Linked DNA regions of Saccharomyces cerevisiae S288C. Changing the gene in region 1 together with any one later gene gives a genetic interaction. Each region holds a gene or a part of one and is shown in the gene's direction. Other genes may lie near its edges. The genes, in order: GSF2, SNF1, RIM21 and ERG4.

Evidence for each region.
Region 2: mutations in GSF2 (region 1) and SNF1 together harm fitness more than expected from each alone (negative genetic interaction), as found in Saccharomyces cerevisiae (4 studies listed by BioGRID, with this or other methods).
Region 3: mutations in GSF2 (region 1) and RIM21 together harm fitness more than expected from each alone (negative genetic interaction), as found in Saccharomyces cerevisiae (3 studies listed by BioGRID).
Region 4: mutations in GSF2 (region 1) and ERG4 together harm fitness more than expected from each alone (negative genetic interaction), as found in Saccharomyces cerevisiae (3 studies listed by BioGRID).

The regions. Positions count from the first base shown.
Region 1 is NC_001145.3:174,418-182,151, forward strand, and holds GSF2 (Gsf2p), read left to right. Parts: upstream 1-4,008; coding exon 4,009-5,220; downstream 5,221-7,734. Other genes in the region: U2 snRNP complex subunit RSE1, read right to left, coding at 1-3,888; pheromone-regulated K(+) transporter PRM6, read right to left, coding at 5,600-6,658; PRP39 (Prp39p), read left to right, coding at 7,057-7,734. UniProt on the Saccharomyces cerevisiae protein: May be involved in the secretion of hexose transporters from the endoplasmic reticulum. Involved in secretion of GAL2 and HXT1.
Region 2 is NC_001136.10:1,408,072-1,416,390, forward strand, and holds SNF1 (AMP-activated serine/threonine-protein kinase catalytic subunit SNF1), read left to right. Parts: upstream 1-4,301; coding exon 4,302-6,203; downstream 6,204-8,319. Other genes in the region: JIP4 (Jip4p), read right to left, coding at 1-2,023; YDR476C (uncharacterized protein), read right to left, coding at 2,382-3,056; SNM1 (Snm1p), read left to right, coding at 6,504-7,100; PEX29 (Pex29p), read right to left, coding at 7,139-8,319. UniProt on the Saccharomyces cerevisiae protein: Serine/threonine protein kinase essential for release from glucose repression.
Region 3 is NC_001146.8:78,159-81,946, reverse strand, and holds RIM21 (Rim21p), read left to right. Parts: upstream 1-1,686; coding exon 1,687-3,288; downstream 3,289-3,788. Other genes in the region: Rab GTPase-activating protein MSB3, read right to left, coding at 1-1,307; MRX6 (Mrx6p), read right to left, coding at 3,427-3,788. UniProt on the Saccharomyces cerevisiae protein: Required for the proteolytic cleavage of the transcription factor RIM101 in response to alkaline ambient pH. Required for growth at alkaline pH.
Region 4 is NC_001139.9:467,725-475,527, forward strand, and holds ERG4 (delta(24(24(1)))-sterol reductase), read left to right. Parts: upstream 1-5,130; coding exon 5,131-6,552; downstream 6,553-7,803. Other genes in the region: PUF4 (Puf4p), read left to right, coding at 1-1,083; drug-responsive transcription factor PDR1, read right to left, coding at 1,368-4,574; SCL1 (proteasome core particle subunit alpha 1), read right to left, coding at 6,765-7,523. UniProt on the Saccharomyces cerevisiae protein: C-24(28) sterol reductase; part of the third module of ergosterol biosynthesis pathway that includes the late steps of the pathway. ERG4 Catalyzes the last step of ergosterol biosynthesis by converting ergosta-5,7,22,24(28)-tetraen-3beta-ol into ergosterol.

The DNA.
Region 1 (7,734 bases):
GGAACCCTCACATATTATTTCATCCTCTATACCATGCCGTCCTTGTAACACAACACTTCCAGATTCCTCTTCATCGTCTTCCTTACGCATATTGTTATTCTTCTTTCTTGATTCATAATCTAAATAAAACGTATCATCCGCCTCAGCCATTATATTCTCAATGTTTCCCATCATAAAAACATTCCCCTTGGATAATAAGGGGATAAAGCATCCCACGGTTCCTTGTAAGCCCATATAGATACAACCAGGTCTATCAGAATTTGAAAGGCTGTCCAGGATATGGAAATCAGTGATGATATCATTAACAAAGAAGTGGTTCAGTAGTTGAAACTTGAACTTGCAATCATAAGTATTGGGTAATTTCTGCTGTAAAGTGATGACGTCTAGTGGGTACTTGATGGCCCCATTAGATAATTCGCTGGGATCATGATTTGACATGATTTTTTCGCACTCTGGTGGAGACCTTAAAGTCCACGCATTTCCATATCTATCAGCGCCTATAACAGTTGCCTCATCTAGAAATTTCAATACCGTCACATGGCGTTTTACAGAGTCATCTACGTACGGAATAAATACATTCCCCGCAGGATCCCAGATAAATAAAGTGACAGATTCATGTATATCACCAACGGCCAGTCTTTCATAATTCCACTGGTGCATAGACACAATTTTTGTTATGGATACCGGGGTCTGTGTTACGGACCTTCTTAATAATTGCTTTTTCCCCAAACCATAAAGGACAATAGTGGAGCCCATGGCTGTCAGCAAGAAGTTTTTAAACTTCAACATAGCATGTATTGGTGAAATGATTTCTGTTTGGTGAAGTAATTCAATATCAAAAGATAGTTTATCTTTGTTAACTAATATCTTGTATGTTAACAGCCTTTTGTCGCCAGCACAAATGATCAAATGATCAGCTTGTCTTGTGAAATCTATTATAGCAGCGGAAACGCAATCGATATCGTCCAGTATCTTGTATAAATGATCCGAACTGCCAAACTTTAAGCATTCACCATCAATTTGCAGTGATATACGGCATTGTTTCTTACCACTGTGATTATCAATAAACAAAATGCTTTTCGGATTATTGGGAAATGATAAAATAGTACGAGGTCGGAATGTAGATATTTGTAACATTTCCATTTCTTCTTCCATTTCATCTTCTTCCTCTTCATTGCTTTCATCTCCTCCACCGTTCTCTTGCTTGTTAACACTTGATTCATGAACGTGAAACCAGTTATCCAAAGTTGGAAAGTTGGAAACTCTGCCAATATTTAAGCGTCCTGAGCTCGATATTGAACAAACACCGTTGATTGCAACATCTGCGTTAACAAATTTGGAACAACTTAGCATGTTTTGATCCTTTAACTGCCGTATGGTCCACACATTTTTCCACGTGTAGCTTACCCATGTAGAAGAGGAATGGCAAACCACGCATGACATCCATTTAGCTCCACTACTATTTATTTCTTCTTCTTCTTTTTCATCATCATCGTCTTCTTCTTCTTCTTCTTCTTCCTCATTATTTAGTGATACAGATATCTCACGCAAATACGAAAGGGAAACAGGCTTCAAGCCAAGGAATCGCCTTTTTATGTCAGTGAACGATCCGTCAACATCCCCTATATGAAATTTCATGTAAACGCCATTTTCTAAACCTACATGCAAATTAAGCTGTCCTATTGAGGAATCTCTAACCATTATCATGTCAGAAATCTTTTCACTAACTAATTGCAAACTTATTACAGTTAAAAAATCTTCCTTTTGGTCTTTAAGAGACATTATTTTGATCATACCCTCATTGTCAGCAATGGCTAATAAATCAGCATGCTGCGTATCTTGCACAATCGCAACTTTAGAGGGCATTGTGTCCAATTCTGGGTGGGTGGTTAATTCGATTAACGAATCCGAAGATACATCTATCTTGAAATAAACCAATTCGTAATTTGATAATGATATAATTAGTTGTGTTTTCGAGGACGTGGCACATACAATACGAATTCCCGCTGGTGGCACCCAAGTCAGCTTATTAGAATACCTAGATTTACCAGTCGGTACGATATGTCTTAGTTCTGCGGTGCATACTTGGATAATAGAGTGTGAGCCCATTAGGCATGTATGAATTGTTGTGTCCTGAGAGAGCTTGAAAGCTGAACGCGTTGCTTCATCCGGTGTTAGTTCCTCCATGGACTCGTTGTCAATTTGTAGTATCATAGTTTTCTTGGGAAAAGTTATGAACAAAAGAGTATTGTTATCGCCGGTTGTTGCAGGATCGGGTATTAGCCATAACTTGGTTGCGTTCGGGGGTAAACTAGTAGATATCAAATTAGAGTAATTCACAGCATTTGTTAAAGTTATTATCTTGTTGTTTGTAAAATGTTTAGTGGCGATAGACAGTGGCGAATCACTGACAATTTGAGATTTTATTGAAGGGTTCAAATTCAATTGTTGCGATAATATGCTCAAATTCTGCAACTTTATGGATGGTTCGAAAACTAGCGACTTATTTGGATCTTTTGAGGTTAAAACATTAGAAAAATCATTTTTCTCTACACCAAGTTTCTCAAACTGGAAAAGAAAGTTGTTATTCATTTCAGATAGTGCAAAAAGATAACCGTTTTTGAAAATGTGTAATTGGTGTGAATTTTGGATTGTATCAAAGTAGGACAATTGAACTAAAGGTCTATTTCTATCATTAGTGTCTGGACTTACAGTTAACTTAAAAAGATCGCCATGGTTAGATTGTAAAAGTACGAAAAAATCATTTTTCAATTTCTGCACTATGCCTGATATGATTGTTACATTTTTATGACGGCTATTTGTGATAGATCTTTTGGGTATTTCCACTTTCAGGCTGAAAAATCCGTTCATATCCTTTACCAGAATATGATTTTCGAAGCCTATGACAACAAAAGGGTTGAAAAGGGTATCATAGTCAGCATCATAGTTGTTGTCGCTTAGCGAAGTTGTTATATTATATCGCGATAGATCTGGCAAACTCAGTACGAAATTGGCAGATGGGTTAACTAAATAATCTGCCTTCTTGACGATGTGATTCAAACCCAACTCGAGGACATAAAATATCAAGTGTACTGATAGTTGAGTAGCGGCATTGTCGATTTCTAAGGTAACAAAACATGGATTATTGAAATTTACATCAACAACTGCCATATCCAGCGTTACCATATGGGGTCTGATGATTTCCAATGGAGACGAAATCCTCAATTTTTGAGCATAATCAACGAGGAAACACAATTTATTTTGTTCGACAGATGAGAGAATGATACAACGCCCATTAGGGTCAATTTCCATGTATGATATGGGAGAGACTCTTCGAAGGGTGGTCCTCGTCAATGGCTGGTTCACTAAAGTCTTAAGTCTAAGAGCACCTGCATGCATAATGATTTGCACGATACTTAGGTTACCAGAATCGGAAGTTAGCGCTAGAAAAGTGGGCCAGTTGGAAGCTTTTGCCCTTGACCCTGAATGCGGCAGATCCAGCGACTTCATCGAGGTTATCGTCGCAAACAGGTTTTGAAACTTGGCAATAAGCTTTAGTTCCCCATCTGCAGTATCATAAAGTTCTAAATGCGTCTCAGTAGCTACGCACAATTGCGACTGCTCACGCTTGGACCCTGCTTCCAGATCGACGAAGTGTCCGATGCAGGAGTGCACGAAATTCGTCTGTTTCTTTAAAGTAAGATGGTACAAGTATAGCTCATCATCTTTAGCAACCATTGTTATGTTATGGTCACTCCTTGTTCTTCTTTCAGCCTCTCGTTTTAAACCGTCATAAGCCATCGTTGTGCTAGCTTGCCCAAATAGTTTACGCATCTTCGCCGTGTGGGGCGACAAGCTTACTACTGCCATTTTGCCACCTCCCCACATTTAATGATGGAAAATATTATAAAAAAGCGAGAAAAGAAGCTAATGGTGCCATTGTTTTCCTTTTTAGAGAGGGGCAGCAGAGATCGGTGGACTTTGTTTTGATAGAGGGCGATTGCAAGCATGGAGATTTACATTAGACTTAACGCAGATGTCGAGCACGACTATGCGTTTCAGGTGTCAAATGAAGACACCATAAATAACAAAATTAAGAAGATTTTCCCTTCCAAGACGGGTTTGGCGGACTTAATGGTGCTGAGACCATCAATTTTCCATGAGAAGGAGCCCGTAAAGTTCTATAAGTCTATCCATCCAGGGTACCTGTCCGAAGGTGGTTGTTTGATGTTCCATTATGAAGCTGATAACGAAGAAAATCTCGAGGAGTTGAATGACTCCAAGCCGCTTATTGACCAGTTGTGGCCTGGTCAGCTAGTTGTTCCGGAGTGGAAGCTATCCAAGAAAAACATATGGGTATACACCATTATTATGTTGGCCTGGCTATATACCGATTTGCCCGACGCCATTTCTCCAACCCCAGGTATTTGTTTGACTAATCAATTGTCTAGACTATTGATTCCTGTAGCCAAGCACATGGATTTACCTGAAATTGCCGCTAAACTCGAACAAGAAGTTCAGGCAAACTATTCTAGTCTCGTAGCTCAATGGCTTTTCTTTGTCATGCACATTTTCAAAGTGGGCATAATTACTTTATTCCTCAAATTAGGCATTGCCAACCCCATCAGCTTCAATCCTTACAAGTTATGGAGTTTGAGAGATTTAACTTCTCCTTCTGCTAACGGCGCTAAGAATTCTGGCGGCAATAACAACACTACTGACTTAAAGACACGTTTGCGCTCTCTGGGCTGGATTGGTGCTAAGAGAGCTACTTACGACGATTACCAGACTAACTATTACAACTATGTCATAGATAAGATGGGTGGTGCAGTTGCTGCTTATAGAGCGGGCGCGATTAGGAAAGCTGCAGCACCAGGTATCCAACTTGTGGCTGGAGAGGGTTTCCAAAGTCCTCTAGAAGATAGGTTCACTGCTTCCACTTTCACGGCTATTAAAACCGAACGGAAATTCATTTTAAGTGAAGAATACTTTGTGGAGCTGGAAAACAATCTAAAGAAGATCTTGGAAGAGTATGACGGGGATATTGGTAAGATGAATGCTGAAATTAGGAGGTTTAGAAGGTTTGGTATTTATGAACCAGATGAAAAACTGGCCTCGCTAGTTAAGCTCAGAAGAGAAATTGCTGATGAGAAAGAGAAAGCATCAAACAATGATGCTACTTTTGGTATAAAAAAGAATGATTTGAAAAAATCTAATTAATTGTAAAACCAAAACACTACCATCCAGACTTTTTTTTTATTCAACCATAGCCTTTAACTACTACTACTACTACTAGTACTACTACTATTACTATTACTATTACTACTACTAGAGGGCCTTTTTTTACTCCTAGTATTTTTGTACTATCCTATTTACTCTCGTTGTTTTTATTAGTTTTTTCACTCTTTTTTTCAATTCCTCACGAATCTACTGTTTTCGTAGTGCTTTTTTTTGTTTCATTGTTTATAGCCATCAATGGTTTTTGTTACTATCATTATCATTATAAATATTTCATACAATATATACAATATATATACAATAAATGAGAATCGATTTACTTTTAATGCATTTTTGCAGTCAAAAAAAGCTTCGTTTACATTTATATGTATTTATGTTTGTATTTCTGGGGGAAATATGCCTTTATGGGCGTATATACTCTTTCGTACGTTTCTACATCCGAGTAGCAGTAGTAACTCGGTATTGTGCTTTCGTCGCCATAATCAGGACTATCATAATCGAATTTTTTTTGCGTTTTGTTGTCACCACATATGGTCCCTTCTTCCTCATCATCTATCAATATTCCCAATTCGTAGACAGTTCTACTTAAATTCTCGTCAATGACTTTAGACACATACTTTCGTAGTTTCAATTCATACCCCTTAACCTTCCTTTTACTAGACAAAAATCTCGGACGTATAAAAATGATGAATATTATTATGCTTAGAATTAATTTGCTTATTAAAATTACCCATATGATAAACGAGAACAACATGAAGGACAAGATCACACTTTCTTCGTAATTTGTCTTAGCAATATGTTTTATCTTGTTTATTATTCCATTTAGGTCATCTAAATTACCTAGGCTTTGAGTACTATGGGTTCCGCTACTGGTCTCATTCGAAACTGTCAGTAAAACTGACCACAAAGTTAATCCGTTGATTATTTGCCTTGGAGAGTCACCGAACAATAGCCTCAAACATCCACTGATTTCAAAATATGAAAAGAATAACCACTTACTGAATTTTTTCTCATCAGTCAGCACTATTAGTTCGAAAATTTGATACTTTTTGAAATTGAACAAGCAATTTATTAATCTGCTAATGCCATTCATGTAGTTCGATGTAATCTCTTTCTTCCTATACACTCTCAATCCAATTACCAACTCCCAAATTAATATTAATGAGGAGCATAATATGCATCCGCTAAACAACCATTTTGAAATACGGAATTCCAAGAATGGTTGGATGATATTGTTCGACCATGTGTTAAATGCCAGTAATTTAATACACGTGTATATATCAGAAAAAAACATGGCCACATGTAGTATCGACTGACACCAGGTGTATAGAATATACTGTAATTTTGTGGTCCACTTCGCAGTAGGAATAAGATTTATGTCAATATCCTGGAATTTCAATTTTTGTAAACTTGATTCCATTATTTAGCGCTTTGTTGTCATTTTCCTTTCCCTCTTAGACAATGTGGTAAAAAATGCCAGCTCCAGGGCTTTCAATTAATCCATTATTGATTTTTAATCTGGAGGTTTGAGCATGGCTGAATAATTTATATACAAATATCTTTTTTTATTGTTTCAGATCATTCGTTTTCAGTATGATTTACTATCATTCATTTTCTTTTTCTTTACCATTTTACGTCGCCGTCGCACATCTTAAAACAAATTTAATACAGAGTTGAAAGTTTCAGACTTAAACAGAATTTACGCAAGAAAGTTTTCAAAGTCCTAAAGTAAAAACGCGCCTTCCACAGCCATTTCTTTGTTCAACAAAAAGTTTTGGCCCTTACTGCTATTGGATACTTGGCAATCCGTCTTTCGTTATGCCAGATGAAACAAATTTTACAATAGAAGATATTGAGCCTAGGCCTGATGCCCTTCGAGGTTTGGACACCCAGTTCCTTCAAGACAACACAGCATTAGTACAAGCATATCGTGGTTTAGACTGGTCAGATATTTCTTCGTTGACCCAAATGGTAGATGTTATAGAGCAAACAGTGGTTAAATATGGCAATCCAAATGATTCAATCAAATTGGCCTTGGAAACTATTTTATGGCAAATATTGCGTAAGTACCCTTTATTGTTTGGATTTTGGAAGAGGTTTGCTACTATTGAGTACCAGTTATTTGGTCTCAAGAAATCGATTGCTGTTCTGGCCACCTCGGTCAAATGGTTCCCAACTTCTCTGGAGTTATGGTGTGATTATTTGAATGTGTTGTGTGTTAATAACCCGAACGAAACGGATTTTATTAGGAATAATTTTGAAATTGCAAAGGATCTTATTGGCAAGCAGTTTCTATCACACCCTTTTTGGGACAAGTTTATAGAATTTGAAGTTGGGCAGAAGAATTGGCATAACGTTCAAAGAATATACGAGTACATTATTGAAGTTCCTCTACATCAGTATGCGCGGTTTTTCACATCTTACAAGAAGTTTTTAAATGAAAAAAATTTGAAGACAACAAGGAATATTGATATAGTTTTACGAAAAACACAAACA
Region 2 (8,319 bases), on another chromosome or scaffold:
TCTGCGGGGTAGCCACATGCCTTGGAGGAGCACCACCTGTGATGACTCTTTTCAGTTCTTCAAAGCCCGACTCCATAGAGTGTGCTCTCTTTTCGTCTACATCCCCATTTTCAATACTATCAGTGATGCTATCGATTTCTAATGAAAACTTTAATGAAGATTCCAAAATAATATTCAGTTTTTTCAAATGCCTCTGTCCCGGTGGTATTGATGAATCATGATCGGCGTCATTTAACTGCTGAGCCATACTCTTTCTACGTTTCCTTGCCATGGTACATAACTTTTCCTTTACCGAAATGTTAGAGGTTAAGGATTTCACGGACATCACATCATTCTCATCATCCTTAAAAGCGTTAAGCTCATCATCAGATGCTTCCTCTCGGCTACTATTGTTAGCACCATTAGCTTCTGGGGCATAACATAGTGAATCTATAGAATAATCGTTATCTTGCTTCCGTTTGATATTTGAGATAGTTGGAATGCTAGCATCTGCTGATTTAGAATGGCTGAACCCAGGCTTTGGACCGCTAGTATTTTTTTGTTTCGTTACCTCCGGTTCTTTAAACTCTTTTTGCAAATCTATTTCCAAATCGAACATTCTCTTTGCCGGTACAATAAACGTTGGAATCGGAAAATTAGTACACAGTTTATCTGTCAGAAAGTTCGATTTCCAACGAACTAAGCTGTCTGTTCTCTCCCACCTCAAAGTGCTAGATACAAAGAAATCAGGTAAATAGATGTTTATTGCCTCAAGAAGCGTTTTTTTAGTCTTGCCAATTAGGATCTCGACAGTGACCTTGACAGAACGATCTTGCGGAATTATGAGTGTAACATAATCAAAAAGATCTTGCAATTTACGTTCTATTTCGTTCTGCGTATAACCAGATGTCCACTCGATAAAATTTTGGTGCTTTAATTTGTTGTCAGATTCCTCAGGCCCCAGAGAAAGTGCCCTTCTTGTACATATGGATCGTGATCTCGATCTGGATCGTGATCTTCTTGCTGAGCTAACACTCCTGCTATCATCCATCATCATTAGCATTCTTTTTCGCTCACTCATCGAATCATTGTCTTCGAAATTATTCTTAGTCAGGCGGGGCAGGTTTGCCAACACAACAATGTGGTCTGTATTTTGAATCAAAGTTCGTAGCGCCCAATCTAGTGCTACCCAAGTATGTTTCCTGCCGCTGATGTGGCACAATATCGTTCGAGGAGTGTTCGGGAACCCAACCTTTTCGCTCAAAACACGCTCTTTCCGCTTTTGAGACTTAGTCAAAGGCGTAAAGCCGTCTTCTATGGGAGGATTGAATTTTATTGTGGGAGTAGCGCCCTCAGACGACTTTTTTTTGTTTGGAGGAAACAGTATTGTTGGGTAATTGAAGAAATCGCGCTTTTGTTCTAATCGATGATCTATCTGATTTTTCTTCTTGATCCATAGTTGTCTCCAATTGGCATACGCCCTACTAATCACAAGAGCGTCATTGATATCGGTGGGTGTAGTAGGATAGTCTTCCCTTACAATTTTACCATTTTCAGAAATCTTAAACATCTTACCTATTTTGATGTTTCTTTTAGAGGCAGGAGGTGGAGAAGAATACCTGCCGGGACTAGCACTGCCCTCTCGCCTACTCGAATAGCTATTCCCGGAGAAGTAGTCGGCATTGTTGTCCGAGGTAAAGCCACTTTCGTCGTCATAATATTCCTCCATTGTATAATCTGCAGAGATCTGCACGCCAGGAAATTCTCTTTTCTCTTCATCTAAGGGCGAAGATACCCTTGATCTGGGAACTGTGTTGAAAGATACGCATGGTAGGTACTTTTCGTTGCTGCCTTTCCCCTTCTTTTTGACGGAACTGCTCGAGTCCAATATCGAGGCTAGACTGCGCCTGTCATCATTGTTGGACTTGTCCTCGTCCTGCTTAGCGAGTATGTCCACCGTATCCTCCAGCTGGTCCTGCCTGACATACAGCTTAACATATTTATAAGAATTTCTCAACGCCTCATCTTGATCTCGTACCACCATTTCCCCCTATGTTTTAGTATCTTCTGTTCCTTGTACTTTAAAGATTCCTTCCCTTAAAAATAGAAGAAAGCTTCTATTTGTTGATATTGCTTTCGAATAGTGAGTGGACTCAAGAGAAGAAAAAAACCTTTACAAAAATTATATGCAAAATATGTTGGAAAAGACAAAAGGGTTTTAAGTTGTGTTTACTAAAAAGTATATAGATAATTCTAGAGGTTATTGAGACATGCAGAATGCGTGTGCCACACCACCGCAGGTGGGTCATTCGGAAATTGTTCCTGTTGCTGCAGCGTCTGCTGCACTTTTCGCTAGAACTTTTCCAGTCGGATAGGGAGACAAAATGAAAAAAGGCCTCGGACTAATTAACTGACCCTTCGCCAAGAGTGCGAGCCTTAGTATCTAGACGTCTCGCAGGACCGTAACCTTCGAGGAGACCTAGAAGAAGCCACTCGGGCACGAACTCGCCAGGAACACGGTAGTACTTGAGCCTAGGGACGACGAAAATGAGCGTCTCGAGGGCGTGAGTCAGGAACTCGGCAACAATGATGAGTCGCAGCACAAGATCACTATCCAGCCACGCCTCTAAGGTGGAGCCCACAGGATTAGGGACCAGGAAAAAGATAGCGTGCAGTGCAGGACGATAGAGGTAGCACAATGGCGGTAGCGCCACGCCTACCAGGATCAACAAGTCTACTAGAGTGCAGGGGTACTCAACAGTGTCGATCTGGATGAGCGACAGCTTCCTCTTCTCCGCAGCGATGCGGAACATCTTGTTGAAGATTTGCTTGATTCCGGTAGCAGTGCGGGTATCGTTGCCCGTGTCATTGTCAATGAAGTAGATAATCTTCTCGATGTTCTGACCCGTTTCTGTGTGAAGGAACTTGAGCGTAAACGTGGACGTCTGCGTGTCGATCTCTGTCAGTCTGACATGCTTGACGGCCTTGGTAATGGGAACGTGGCCAAAAACGGCGAGACAATCCTCCAGCCCCAACTTGTGCGTATCGTTGATGCTTACAATTAACGAATCCCACATACTTGTGTATACCCGTATACTTGCTTGAGTTGATAGAACGCACGCTCTCGCCGATATAAGCCTCCACTCTTTATATATACCATATCCAAATAGGTGTGCACTTTGTGGCAAGGAGTAATTATAAACGAACAGAATATCCCGACCACATGGCAAGACCAAGAAAGTTCAAGACTGCGCAAGAAACGGCAGAACAGAAGCTGCTCACTAACTTCAACCTTGTAACTGAATTCGTAGGGTTAAAACTCCACCACGTTTGTAGCGGAGCAATGTCGCCTTTAAGAAGTCGCTAGCTATCTCTTTCGCCTCCGTATAGCAATCATTGTCTAATGCAATCCGCCATCGTTATGTCCGCGGCTTTTGTCTGGAGGGCAAATCACGATAGGAAGAGGCATCTTCTGTAGTAAAGGCGTCTGTAGTAAAACCTTTTCTTGGAAGCCATAACAAATCATGGCCACCAATGCCTGGCAAAAAAGGGTGGCATTGAAGGGAAATTTCAAAGATTTTTTTAATAGAGGCCCTAGGAAAAAACATGTCCGTACGTTTAGATACGGTTATAAACTGTACAATCATTTGCTATCAAATGCTGAACCTTCCCCAAGGGACTAAAAGCTGGAAATGGCAGTGTGCTACTATTTCTTTTAGTCGTATATTTAACTCTCGATCTTGCAGGCTATGATGTCCCATATGATGTCCCACATGACGCAAGTAACTTCAAAAAAAGAGGAATTGCGTGGCGGCGTGGATGCAAAAGGATGGGCGTGATGATGGGACTCGAGACCTGGTTTTACTCAATGTTAGTCATATGTATATAGTCCTTATAGGCCCATATTAGAAAGTACATGTCATAGTTACCCTCTGCAGTTTTTCTCGTAGCGGAAGGGGATGGAAATTTTTAACGTAAAAGAAAGTTGGTAAGAGTATGGCACATCAACAGGTAGCGTTATAGGGGCCAAGACATAGCTTTGGGCTTAGTACTGTAGGCTTGTTACCAGAACTTTCATTTATCGAAATATTCTTTTTTCACATTTCCTCTTACTGCGCATTCGTGTCCAAACAGTCATTCAGGAAGTATAACGATAAACAATAGATTGAAGCCTGAAAAAAAAAAAAAAAGCACGACAATAGAAATTGTTTCAGTGTCATTGGCTTTTGATAATATATAGAGGCTGTTTCAATAATCATAGCGAAAGAAATAGAAGTTTTTTTTTGTAACAAGTTTTGCTACACTCCCTTAATAAAGTCAACATGAGCAGTAACAACAACACAAACACAGCACCTGCCAATGCAAATTCTAGCCACCACCACCACCATCACCACCATCACCACCACCATCACGGTCATGGCGGAAGCAACTCGACGCTAAACAATCCCAAGTCGTCCTTAGCGGATGGTGCACATATCGGGAACTACCAAATCGTCAAAACGCTGGGAGAGGGGTCCTTTGGTAAAGTTAAATTGGCATATCATACCACTACGGGCCAAAAAGTTGCTCTAAAAATCATTAATAAGAAGGTTTTGGCAAAGAGTGATATGCAGGGCAGAATTGAAAGAGAAATATCTTATCTGAGACTCTTAAGACACCCCCACATCATCAAACTGTATGATGTTATCAAATCCAAAGATGAAATCATTATGGTTATAGAGTACGCCGGGAACGAATTGTTTGACTATATTGTTCAGAGAGACAAAATGAGCGAGCAAGAGGCAAGAAGATTTTTCCAGCAGATCATCAGTGCCGTCGAGTACTGCCATAGGCACAAAATTGTCCATAGAGATCTGAAGCCTGAAAACTTACTACTAGATGAGCATCTGAATGTAAAGATTGCCGATTTTGGTTTGTCAAACATCATGACTGATGGTAATTTCTTAAAGACTTCTTGTGGTTCTCCCAATTATGCGGCTCCTGAAGTTATCAGCGGTAAGCTGTACGCAGGCCCAGAAGTGGACGTGTGGTCATGTGGGGTTATCCTTTATGTTATGCTTTGTCGTCGTCTACCGTTTGACGATGAAAGCATCCCAGTGCTTTTCAAGAATATCAGCAACGGTGTTTACACCTTGCCTAAATTTTTATCTCCTGGAGCTGCTGGGCTAATCAAAAGAATGTTAATCGTTAATCCATTGAACAGAATAAGCATTCATGAAATTATGCAAGACGATTGGTTCAAAGTTGACCTGCCAGAATATCTACTTCCACCAGATTTGAAACCACACCCAGAAGAAGAGAATGAAAATAATGACTCAAAAAAGGATGGCAGCAGCCCAGATAACGATGAAATTGATGACAACCTTGTCAATATTTTATCATCGACCATGGGTTACGAAAAAGACGAGATTTATGAGTCCTTAGAATCATCAGAAGACACTCCTGCATTCAACGAAATTAGGGACGCGTACATGTTGATTAAGGAGAATAAATCTTTGATCAAGGATATGAAGGCAAACAAAAGCGTCAGTGATGAACTGGATACCTTTCTGTCCCAGTCACCTCCAACTTTTCAACAACAAAGCAAATCCCATCAAAAGAGTCAAGTAGATCATGAAACTGCCAAGCAACACGCAAGAAGGATGGCAAGTGCTATCACTCAACAAAGGACATATCACCAATCACCCTTCATGGATCAGTATAAAGAAGAAGACTCTACAGTTTCCATTTTGCCTACATCTTTACCTCAGATCCACAGAGCTAATATGTTAGCACAAGGTTCGCCAGCTGCCTCTAAAATATCTCCTCTTGTAACGAAAAAATCTAAAACGAGATGGCATTTTGGTATACGATCTCGCTCATATCCATTAGACGTTATGGGTGAAATTTATATTGCCTTGAAGAATTTGGGTGCCGAATGGGCCAAGCCATCTGAAGAGGATTTATGGACTATCAAATTAAGGTGGAAATATGATATTGGAAACAAGACAAACACTAATGAAAAAATACCTGATTTAATGAAAATGGTAATTCAATTATTTCAAATTGAAACCAATAATTATTTGGTGGATTTCAAATTTGACGGCTGGGAAAGTAGTTATGGAGATGATACTACTGTTTCTAATATTTCTGAAGATGAAATGAGTACTTTTTCAGCCTACCCATTTTTACATTTAACAACAAAACTAATTATGGAATTAGCCGTTAACAGTCAAAGCAATTGATGGTGGAACGTAAAAGAATGATATGGAAGTTCCCTTTTTTTTATGTATCGTAACGTATTTGCAACATCTTTATAATATCCCTTTGTATAAAGTAAACAATCTTGATTAAATAAACCTGAACATAATTTATTGATGTGAATGTTCTTTTATTGGCATTATTTCTTCGGATGAAAAGCAAATTTCACGCTCTATGAGAAAAATTGAAAACGCTATTCTATGTGAAAATAGAGATGAGTACTACTAGTGGCTACAATAAAAATACTGAACCTTTGACAATCGTACAACAAAAGGATCCCAAAAATGAATAAAGACCAGGCAGAAAAATATCAAGAACGGAGTCTGCGACAAAAATACAACCTACTACATGTACTGCCAACACTGAATTCCAGAGCGTTATCGGGACTATACTATAAAAATTTTCATAATTCTGTGAAGCGATATCAAATCATGCTGCCAGAACAACTGAAAAGTGGGAAATTTTGCTCCCATTGCGGGTGTGTTTACGTTCCTAATTTTAACGCAAGTCTTCAGTTAACGACTAATACCGAGCAAGGTGACTCCGACGAACTTGGCGGCGAGAGTATGGAAGGACCAAAAAAATGTATCCAGGTTAATTGCTTGAATTGTGAAAAGTCTAAATTGTTTGAGTGGAAATCTGAGTTCGTTGTTCCAACATTTGGACAAGATGTTAGTCCGATGATCAATAGTACCAGCAGCGGGAAGGTTTCGTACGCGGTAAAGAAGCCCCAAAAGAGTAAAACTAGTACTGGTAAGGAGAGATCCAAGAAGAGAAAGTTGAACTCACTTACAAACCTTTTATCGAAAAGAAATCAAGAGAAAAAAATGGAAAAGAAGAAAAGTTCGTCACTGTCATTAGAAAGTTTTATGAAAAGTTGACTGTATCATCAGTGAACATATAGTATAACAAATCAAGTTTATATAGTTGAATTGAGAGTGTCTGTTAGCTCTTCGATTGACGGATAAGATGCATCCGCGTCGATATTGTTGAGATTAGGAATAGTACCGTTTATACTTTCCTCATCAGCGCGGTCATCATCACTACTGTGAGTTAGACCGCCACTCATTGAACCCTTCGTCACGCCATGTACGCCTTGCCTATATGTTTCTTCCCTCAATGGATTAACTACTTCCTCCTCACCAAGGTTTGAAGAAATACCAGAATCCAGTTTTTTCCGCACGCAACTGTTGGTCCACATTCGCCTTCTATATGAGCCCCTTTGTCCATCAAGATTGAGGTCATAGACCCATTTTGTTTCTGAATCTATCTCGACATACTGAATAAATTCGTCCTCTACCCATTCTTTTGGATCCAAATCAAGCACCCAATGAGAATTGGCTTCCCATTCCCAATCCTTAGGTGGCTCAATTTCTTCTAATGACTTCACTGAATTTTCCTCAATACGCCTCTGGTATATTCTCAAACTAGAGAAAAGAGAATAATCGTCATCAGAGAATCCAACTGGGCGCCATTCTTTGTATTCAGGAAGATACTTTTGGATCTCAAAGATCATAACAAGTCGGTGCTCCCTAGCCTCAATGAGTTTCAAATGCTGCAAAATCTTAGATTCCAGATTAGTACTTATAGTCAAAGTTTTTAATCTTGTCTCCTCCGAATTCAATTTAGTCAACAAATATTCACGATTGGACGGATGCGAGGCAATAAAAAAACCCCAACCTAGCAGTATCAGTACGGGTCTCATTGGAATGAGCTTGATAAATTTATCCATGTACAGAAAATTTAATGTTGCTATTATTAACAATACAATAAAATAAAACGACGAAATAGCCTCGTTGGTGAAGAATGCAAACTTTTGTAATATGAGTAAAGTAAAATCGTAGAATTTAACATATAGCAGCATATGGTTTTGTAAATCCGTGAGGTTTAAGACAAATTCTTGGCTCAGTTCAGGGACTGGTTTAGGAACCTCAGGTCTTCGCAAAGGTGGGCCTTGTGCTGGTGTTTGATTATTATCTAGATAGCTTGTAGGGTTTGGCTTATGAATGTAAAGGTATTGCGGGACCATTACGCAGAATAACAAATAGAATATAGGGAGCGAAGAAAGCATTTGAAAAGGTTTCAATATAATGAGCGTGT
Region 3 (3,788 bases), on another chromosome or scaffold:
AAGCAACTCATGAACCAGCTCGCCGTGCACAAAGTAATGGGCGGAAGTCTGTACAAGAACTCATTCTTTTGCATATTGAATAAAACTTTTTTATTTGACGGAGAAAAAGTTTTGTTATTTTTTTGGTGGTGGTCAATGGAAGGCTTAATGTACGACCAAACTTCTGGAATATATTCTTTGACACATAGCATCAGTACCCCTTGGTCGATGTTAACACCTTCTAGATTGATATTATGCACCCCCGGTAGGTATCTTGAAGTAATAATCACTAGCATCCAAAAGGCCCTTTCCTCGTCTAAAAATAACAATAGCAAGCCTGCAAGAAAGTTCATAGATTGACAATAGCCAATCTTCGGATTGTAGAGAGAGAACGCAACAAGCACCCGGCGTAAAGATTTTATAATCGGAGGTCCCTCTTTGTTATGCAAGCTACTTTGGAAATGTATATTGTCCGGAAATGTTCTATTCAAGTCACGTTCAATAATATCCAAGTCTTGAACTTGTTTTTCATTAGGGTTTTGTTTCTTGATCTGCTTCATCTTTCGTAAAAGTTGTGAATAGACGCCTTTATTCTTGTTTAACTTCTCTTGCCCTCTAGCGAAATGCCACCATGCATTTCCTCTCCATTCCGCTGGAATGCCCTTTCTGACATACCTTTTTAACCGTTCACTCTTTGATGGAAATCGTGAAGGAGAATCATCGGTCACTGGCAACCCACTTTTCTCCAACAGCAATTGCCATTTGTGCTTACGGCGAACGCAGTACTGCGAATATTCTACCCACCACTTATCGTATTCTGCTTCAGATATGTAATTATTCTGTTTTTTGAAACCGTATCGATCAAAATGGGTATTGTTGATTCCATTGGAATTCGCACTTGTGGCACTAGCGGCACCCTCCAATTCTACACGCTGACGGTTGTCATCATCAGGAACCAAATCGAGGTCATCACTGTGCACTTCCTCCAGATCTTCGTTACCATTATCGCCATTATTATCATCATCATCCTCTCCTTCGGCACGTTGGGATTCCACTTCGTCTCCATACAGGTCAATAACGCTTAAATTCCCATCATGTTCAGAGGGGGATGCTTGGCCCAAACAACTTGGTTCCACAGAGCGATGATCATTCGCTCTAAAGCTTCCGTTCACCAGAGCTGAGTCGCTAGAACTATGATCTGAATGCATTTTATCATGAAAGTTAGGAACAGACGGTGATTTCACCGTAAATGCCCCTCCTAGCCTTTTGTATGGATGCGCCAGTACCGTCCTATTTTGCAGGGAGAACCTCTGTTGATCGTTCTGCATGCTAATTACAATGGTTCTGGGTGCGCAACTCTTTGACTCCTACAAAGCTTCTAGATGTCCCTTTAGCTATTTTTAGCTACTTTCTTTCTACGTGACATAAACGAGGTTTGATCCTGTTAATTCTGATACTGCCCGAACAGAAAAATAGCAGCTATTGAAAGAGAAGATGGAACCCGTTGTATCGGCGAGTAAAGATAAGTACTTTAGAAGAGCAACCCACATCGTTTAGTTACAAGAAAGACAAAAGACTGGTACTACAGATTCGGTGTCCTTTACCTGTTTTCTTCTTTCCTGTGCGCACTTAATCAGTCATTTTAGACTATCGTTTTTAGTAGCACATAAGGAGGAAGACACTCGATGAATAGTCGATTCTGCAAACATGAACTTGTGGAGACATAGTCCAGAAGAATTGGCTGCTTACAATAGCTGTCATCCAATGAAGCTAGGTTCAGGGGTGCTGATACAATTGCCTCTTTATGACAATTCGGCAGTATATGCAGAAGATATTACTTTTAGGAGTTTCTGCTGTGAAAGAGTGCCCGTTTATGTATCTACGGTGCTAAGAAACTCTTCCCCATATAGGTATCTTGATGAGGTGATCAATGACTGGCAAAAATTCATTCAAGTAAGCGATTATGTCGGCGGTTCTGCTGAGTATGCGATTTATGCTGTGATTTTGTCGATAACTTCTAATTTTGTCATCACAGTGTTCCTGACTGTGATATGCTGTATAAATATCAGCGGGCGCGCATATAAGAGAATTCTACAACTACTGAGGATAGCCTCGTTGTTAGCCTCGTTGAACTTAACGATTTTTATCACGAAGGTGTTGCGGAGATTGGAAAAAGAGCACAATGTCTATGGTGTCGTTCGGGCTCATTCCATTATGCACATCTTTTCCGATGATATGACATTTGTTGTCTTGGATTTCTTGGCTACTTTAATGTTCCAATTTTGCCAAGTCGGCATTGTCATTAGGCTATTTCAAAGAGCTCAGGAAAAGAGAATAATTTTTTTTATTGGGGTGATATTAACAATAACCGCAAATATTTTATGGGTAATTCCACCGTTTGCTAACCATACTACAAAACACAGAAATGACTGGCAGATTCTGCGGCCATTTGTTTACCTTTTCCGTATTGCCATCGCCACGTCATATGCATCAATCGTCATTTATCACATCTGGCAGAAAAAAAAATTGTGGTTTAAATTCAATCAAATGGGTTTACTTACGCTATTGACTATTCTTGTGGTGCTTCTATTACCGGGTTTCTTCCTTGCCGATGTGTCGAACTTATGGATATCGGAACTGGGTGAAGTGTTTAACACGACATGCTATGTCACTTCGACCGTGATCACATGGGAGTGGCTGGATAGATTAAATGTTTTGGAAAGAAAAGAGGAAGCGCAAAGCATTTTGGGAAGACCTATCTTCGAGGAAGAGCAACAAGACTATCGGTTTGCCAAGTACGCCTTAAGGGTTCAAAACGCTTTAACCAGGAGGGAATCTCAGGACGCATCAACGGATCGGCACGATACGTCAAGTAATTCGGAAGTATGTGATTTACAGACCATATCACGCTACGACCCAGAAGATCAGATATCAGTGGGCAGAAGCATTGATCGAATGCATTTCAATGATAGGGGAACTTATAAAGATGTAGCGCTGAAGAAATTAGGCTATGCGCGTGATAAAATTTTATACTTTACAGACCAAATCGTCCAGAAAAGCGTAGGCCACAATAATAGCAGCAGCTCGAAAAATGAAAAAACCAAACAGAGAAAGGCCATGGTCAGGAAACGGTTGGGATTAGACAAACCAGGCATATACATTTATTCGACAAAGGATGTCGTTTTCAATTCAGATGAAGATGACGATGAGAACGCGGAAGATGAAGATGACGATGAATATGAAGTTGGCAGTGAAGGCAATAACAATAGCTCTGCCACTTTTACCAGCGACCATATAGGCCATATTTGAAGGACACAGCAGAAACAGTATTACAACAAACCTACATATTTATATATTCCATGCATGCTCAAGATGCATATGCATAATATTTACACGAATTGCGAATATGTCACATAATAGAGCAGTGGATAAGTACTCAATGCAAAATCACTCATAGTAGTCCCATTCTTCAAATGCAGTTTCCAATAATTGTGTATTCAAATTAGTGGGATACCTCGTATACCTCACGCCGCTCCTAGTAACAACATACTTGTCATTGAAGCTGACTTGAACGTCCTTATGTATAGTCCTCCCCCAAAAGGTATTGTGCCTCTTGGTGTATCTTAACCAATGCATTCTCTTGAAATTATGAATCGGACTTGGTTGAATAATACAATCTACGCCATCTTGGAAAAAATATGTGGATGGTACTTCATCTGATAACCGCACTATGATTTTTTCAATATACGCCTTGATTTTGTTTTCAAATTTCTTAGAGTCTCTGGAATTTGTTAAAGTTGACAATATCG
Region 4 (7,803 bases), on another chromosome or scaffold:
AATAACAATAATAATAATAACAGTAATGCTACCAACAGCAACAGCGCGGAAAAACAACGTAAAATTGAGGAGTCGTCGAGATTTGCGGACGCAGTTTTAGACCAATATATCGGAAGTATTCACTCATTGTGTAAAGACCAACATGGTTGTCGTTTTCTGCAAAAGCAGTTGGATATTCTCGGCAGTAAGGCGGCGGACGCAATTTTTGAAGAAACTAAGGATTATACGGTTGAATTGATGACTGATTCATTCGGTAATTATTTGATCCAGAAGCTATTGGAAGAGGTTACCACAGAACAAAGAATCGTACTCACAAAAATATCTTCCCCTCATTTTGTCGAAATTTCCTTAAACCCTCATGGTACTAGGGCATTACAAAAACTCATTGAATGCATCAAAACAGATGAAGAAGCACAGATTGTTGTTGATTCTTTACGCCCTTATACTGTCCAGTTGAGTAAGGATTTAAATGGTAATCATGTTATTCAAAAATGTTTGCAAAGGTTGAAGCCTGAAAACTTCCAGTTTATCTTTGACGCAATCTCTGATAGCTGTATTGATATTGCTACTCATAGACACGGGTGTTGCGTTTTGCAACGTTGTCTAGATCATGGGACTACAGAACAATGTGACAATCTGTGTGATAAGTTGCTAGCCCTTGTTGATAAATTAACTTTGGATCCATTTGGCAACTATGTGGTGCAATATATAATTACCAAAGAGGCTGAGAAGAACAAATATGATTATACGCATAAAATTGTCCACCTGTTGAAACCAAGAGCCATCGAACTTTCTATCCATAAATTTGGATCAAATGTGATTGAAAAAATCTTGAAGACAGCTATTGTTTCGGAGCCAATGATTCTGGAAATTTTAAATAATGGTGGCGAGACGGGTATTCAATCATTGTTGAATGATAGCTACGGAAATTACGTTTTACAGACAGCATTAGACATTTCTCATAAGCAAAATGACTATCTCTATAAAAGACTATCAGAGATTGTGGCGCCTTTACTGGTGGGCCCCATAAGAAATACACCTCATGGTAAAAGAATCATCGGAATGTTACATTTAGATTCATAGTTGATACATATATCCTCAGTTTAGCTTTTTTTACGTTAGCCTCATATAATATCTTTTGTACAATACTAAAATACATCATTTTTTTTTTCGTTGAGGATCAAATGAATATCCAAAGCAAAAAAAATAGGAATTTTCACTTTATGGTATACTGGTAAATAGTGTTGAAGAAATAAGAGAAGGAGATGCCCTAGAAAACAGAATGTTCTTATTTAAATAAGTAAACTCAAAAGAAAAAAAAAAGGAAGGAAGTTTTTGAGAACTTTTATCTATACAAACGTATACGTTTAACTATCTGGATAAACGTCGCTCCACAGGATACTGTAGAGGTCCTCAAGATCACCGTTATTAACAAATTCATCTAGTGTCCCCAAATTAAAACTAGTTGCAGAAAAATTGTTACTGTTGTTGTTGTTAATATTGTTAATATTGTTTTTATTGTTGTTGTTGTTGTTGTTGTTGTTATTGATTTCATTTGTGTTCATAAATGGTACTTGTACTGAAGTGGGTATTTGCTGCTGAGCATTGATTGGTTTATTAGATTGGACTTGCGTATTATTTTGCCCATTTGTTGGTTGCGCGTAATCGGGATTGATCATATCAGACACGGATAATGACCTAAATGAAGGCAATTGTGCAAACTCCGGTAGTGAGTTGTTTCTCACTGGGGAAGGTGCTGAGCGACCATTGAATGGCAATTGAGGCGATTCAATGCCATTTAGTAAGCATGAAGTGCCCGTCTTAAGACTTGGGAGATCCGGATTCAAATTTTTTCCCGAATTATGCTTCATCTGCTTATTATCTTCATTTGACATTAGTGGTTCCTGAAACTTTCTATTTTTCAACATTTGTGAGACCGTTAAATGGAATCCTGACTTCTGAACAGGTTCTAATAAAAATCGATAAGCGCAAGAGTTTGTATCCAAGACAAGTTCTATTATACCTTTTAAATCTGGCGCATTCTCATCAATATATTTGGAGATAACATCGAGGTTGGTGCTAGAGGACTCTCCGTATGCCAAAAGCATGATACGAGTGACGATTGTCAGGAAAGAAAAAGCTCTTGTATAGTCTTTAAAGCTTTGGCTGTTGAAGACATGCTCATTGGTCTCATTTTCGGAAAAAATTTTTATATCCAAAAATCTTTTGAAGACTCTAATCATATTCACAACGTCATTTACTTTAATGAATTCGGCCACTGAGAATGCTTGTGATACCAAAATAATGCAACTGATAGAATAATGGGCGAACGAACGGTATACGGAATAATCGTTGTCAAAGTCTAATAAGATTTTGTTCATATCGGTCCATGATTTGTAAATCTTGTGAAGGTATATTTTCAAGTTTTCAATTAGTATTGAGGGCCTTCTGTGCACGCATAATCTGGCGACAATATTATCAGATTCGTTAACCATTCTGCAGAAATGGTGCTCGTAAAATAGAACAAATTTTGAAGCCATAATCTTATCCTCTCTTGAAACTTTGAGTTCAGTACTATCTTTAGAGAATGCAATATCGAACAATTTTCCAGTTTGCTCTTTGATAGCATCATATTTCATTTCTGTTTCGTTAAAAATCTCGAGTACCTCGAAGAGTAGTTTCTCTCTAACAACAGATGGTTTTGATGTATTCCTAATTGACGTGAATTTTTCATTGAATAAAACAGATGATGAGAAATGGCTGACTATTTGTAAGACAGCTAATTCGCCATAGTATTTTAAGTCGGATATGCACATGTTGTCAAAAGCTTCGCTCCTGCGAACTAAGTGGACGTTCTCGATAAAATCTCTATTATCCAAGAACCCAACATCTCGAAAATTCTTAGGTAATAAACAATTGATTTTGGAGTCATCAATGTTCGAAGGATAGCCAAGTTTAGAGGCTAAAGTTTTCTCGAAATAGAAAGCTTTCCACCAGAGATTTCTTCTTCTTTCAGCAAAGTTTTCATCAAGACCCACGTAAAATTCCCACCTTGATAAACCAACTCTTGAAACAAAATGAACTGCTACGTTCAAGACTTTTTCAAAACCGTATATTTCCGATAGCCAAAATAGCAGATCCAAAAAGTATAGAAGTTGCTCTAAATGCGTTATGTCGCATGTGAAGTCCACGTAGTTGTATAATGTAGAATTATAATAGCTGTAACATAAGGCGATTAGCGCCTCTCCAGCTTGACAATAATGGATGAATTCCTGCAAGACATCAATTGACTGCGTGTTTTTAGCCACGGAGGGGTTAGATGTGATTTCCATTAGGAAGTTCTGGTAGGAATTTTTATGCATATCCAACATCTTCAATAAAATGCCAAACATGCTGATATCATTATTCATTTCGCTTAGTAGCTCAGAATTACTTATTCCGGTTATATTTCTCACAAAGGGCTGCGGTAAGTGATTTATCACTAACGCAACATGCGATTTTGTGTGTGCTGTATTCGGGCTCCCTGCAGATGATATCGAAGATGGGGTTGAAGGTAAAAGATTCATTTTCTGTAGGTAGTTTTCCAGGGGATTAGCTATGGAGACACAGCCTTGGTTGATGTGATGAAAACAAACGTCGAAAAACCTTAACATGATGTATATGGTTTCCTTGGCGGTCCTGGGAAAAATCTCGCATTTGGATTTGGATCTATAATTTTGGAAACATTTACCAATACCTTGAAGTGACAAAAATTGGAAAGGAGAGTACAAACCAAAGATTTCGTCGATCAAAGGTTGACTAGAAGTATCTTGGTCCTTCTTATTGTTTGACCAAGCGGCATATCTTGTCAAATGTACCACATCACAGTATTTGTTTTTCATCAATTGAGTTTCTATTGATTTATTAGGGTAAAATTTCGTTGTTGCTAATTCTTTGGTCCTCACTTTGGGTTCCCATCGCTTAAGCAAGTCACTTATCTGAAGTTCAATGCTCTCGATGGCTGAGGTTACATGTGTACCTAAATGAGCCATCTCCTTCAAATTTTTCAGAGTGGTTTGTAGAGATGTCAAAGTTGCCTGTGATTCGCTATCGTCTTCATAAAAACCGTTTCTATTCACATCGTCGTCATTCTTCCCATCACTTCCGCTATTATCACCACTACTACGACCACCTAGCTTGAAATTCTCAAAAAATTTCGTTGGTTGTTCCACTGCGCATGGCCCGTCTGTACATCGCTGAGGATTAGAAAAAGAAGTCGAACTGGAATCTGTTTCCTCTTTGACTTGTACGGTTGTACCTTCCAAACTCGTCTTGTGAAGGTTTTTTATTCGAGCGCCACCTTGTCTAGTGCTGAACGTGCACTCACATGAATATATCTCACAGCTTGCGCAGGGAAACTTCCCATTACATTTTATCTTTCTTTTTCTACAGTTATCGCACGCTTTACTTACTTTCGACCTTGGCTTACGAATCTTGCCGCTGAAACCTGTAGAAAAGTTGCTGGAGTCCGCGGACGATTCTGTATCCGGACCCGTCTCAATATGTACACCGTTCTTAGGTGTCAAGCCTCGCATCTTCCAGTTTCTTGGATTCTTTTCTGTATATTCTTGGCTGAGATGAATAGTTAGCAAGTGATGTGCAAATTGTCTTTTTTTAGCCAAAACTCACTCCTGGTAATGTCTATATGGCCGCTATGGTCCTGCTATCATGCTATTGTTGACAATGAAAGAGTGGCTGATCATGTGTAATAGGCGAATAAGGTTGTTTTGAAGAGCTTTAATTAGCGCCTCTTATTGCCACTCATTAGGTCTTGAACAAGAAAAGAAACTCCATTTAGGGTATGCGTCTGTTTCCAACAAAGCCCTATTGGACCCTGAGAATGTAAATCAGGGCTCGTTTCTTCTCGTTTAATAACTAAACGAGACTCATTTCTTTTTCGTTCCTTGGCGCTATTTTCGTGCATCCCGTAATTGCCGGTATTACGCGATCGTTTGGCGTTACTATGGAAAAGCAGAATTATATATCCTCGAGGAAAAATTACCAAACAGTGGTAATAACGTAGGAATGTAGTTCAGTTATGTAGATAGGCAGATACGGATATTTACGTAGTGTACATAGATTAGCATCGCTATGGCAAAGGATAATAGTGAGAAGCTGCAGGTGCAGGGAGAGGAGAAAAAGTCCAAGCAACCGGTTAATTTCCTGCCTCAGGGTAAATGGCTGAAGCCAAATGAAATCGAATATGAGTTTGGTGGGACTACTGGTGTTATTGGTATGCTGATCGGGTTTCCACTGCTAATGTACTATATGTGGATTTGTGCGGAATTTTATCACGGTAAGGTTGCCCTACCCAAGGCTGGTGAATCGTGGATGCACTTTATCAAGCACCTATACCAGTTAGTCTTGGAGAACGGTATCCCAGAAAAGTATGACTGGACTATTTTCTTAACATTTTGGGTGTTTCAGATCATTTTCTACTATACGTTGCCCGGGATTTGGACAAAAGGTCAACCATTGTCTCATTTGAAGGGAAAACAATTGCCTTACTTTTGTAATGCCATGTGGACCTTGTATGTAACTACCACTTTGGTCTTGGTTTTGCACTTTACCAATCTTTTTAGATTGTATGTCATTATTGACCGTTTTGGGAGGATCATGACATGTGCCATTATTTCAGGGTTTGCCTTCTCCATCATATTGTACTTATGGACTTTATTTATCTCACATGACTATCATAGAATGACAGGAAACCATCTATATGATTTCTTCATGGGAGCTCCACTAAACCCTAGGTGGGGGATTTTGGACTTGAAGATGTTTTTCGAGGTTAGATTACCTTGGTTCACCCTTTACTTTATCACTTTGGGTGCCTGTTTGAAGCAGTGGGAGACTTACGGCTATGTGACACCACAATTGGGGGTTGTCATGTTAGCTCATTGGTTGTACGCGAACGCATGTGCTAAAGGTGAAGAATTGATTGTTCCAACCTGGGACATGGCTTACGAAAAGTTTGGATTTATGCTGATCTTCTGGAATATTGCCGGTGTCCCATACACTTACTGTCATTGTACGTTGTATTTGTACTACCATGACCCATCTGAATATCACTGGTCTACACTGTACAATGTTTCGCTGTACGTTGTTCTATTATGCGCCTACTACTTCTTTGACACGGCAAATGCTCAGAAAAATGCCTTCAGAAAGCAAATGTCTGGTGACAAGACAGGTAGGAAGACTTTCCCATTTTTGCCATACCAAATTTTGAAGAATCCAAAGTATATGGTTACCTCCAATGGATCGTACCTATTGATTGATGGTTGGTACACTTTGGCTAGAAAAATTCACTACACTGCCGATTGGACTCAATCTCTCGTTTGGGCCTTGTCTTGCGGGTTCAACTCGGTGTTCCCATGGTTTTTCCCAGTATTCTTCCTTGTTGTCCTGATTCACAGAGCCTTCAGAGACCAAGCAAAATGTAAGAGAAAGTACGGAAAAGATTGGGATGAGTATTGTAAACATTGCCCTTACGTCTTTATTCCTTATGTTTTCTAGTTATTTTCTTTTTCTATCCACTTCATTAACTTATTTTACAGTTTGTATATAAAAGTATTGATGTATTTACGCGACAAAAGGGCTTGAAAAGATTCGATTTTCTATTACTTGATCTACTTTTTCCTATAAAATAAATCCTAAATGAAACGTGTCCATACATATATTGAGTGTTGACGCGTGTGATTTCACATTATGTTGTGGCAGGAAGTATGTTAATCTTGTTCAGCAATTGCTACTAGCCTTTCTTCGATGTTCTCAGCACTCAAGGTAAAGAATTTGTCCTTTGTAGCGACACCGACTTCCAAGTCATTCTTTGAAAATTCGGTACCCAGTGCGTCAATCATATGAGTAATAGCAAATTCTACCACCTTCTCCCATGATTCTTCATTAATATGGTCGATTTTACTCTTTTTGAAATGGTTTTCTAAGTTTGTTGTGATCTCCTGTTGTTTTGGTCCTGTCGCAGTAGCTTTGTAGCCAACGTAATAACCTGCAGGGTCAGTTTTGTAAATGGAGGGACCCAATTCTTCATCTACCGAAACAAATGTGAGTATAACACCTAATGGTCTCATATATGCTCTTTGAGTATAGATTTGGGAAAGGTTAGCCATTCTCTTAGCCAATACATCGCATGGCATATCATAACCATATTTATAACGGAATTCTGCAGCCTCAGCCTTGGCTCTTAGGGCCGCATTTCTTGCATCCGGTATTGGTCCGTTCACTACCATACCAATTGTTCTTGAAATACAAAAAATATACGAAACAGTAGTTGGATCCAACAGTTTATCAGGGACCTTTTTCTGACTTATCACCACTGTACAATCTTTACCTCTGACCGCTAGTGAGTTTATGTTAGTTTGATTAGTCGCTTTAAAGGCATATTCTACTTGATATAAACGACCCTCGGGGGAAAAGATAGTGATGTGCCTGTCATAACCAGCAGCAGATGCAGCAGCAGCACCCGACATGATTGTAATATGTTTTTTTCGCTTTGCTTCGTCTCTGCCCTTATATGATTTAGCATGAAGATTATAATGAGTTAGCCATTTAACTTACTCTATCCTTACGGTGGCAAATTGGTGTGTGCCCTTCGTCTATTGTGATATCATAATTAAGGATCGCGATTACCATTATAAGAGGATGGGGAAAAGGAATGCCAAGGTAAATCCAGGAAAGTGAAACTTGGGAGTTTGTTTGGAGGATATGTATATAAATATACGAGGTTTTGAGAATATAGTCTCTTCTTCT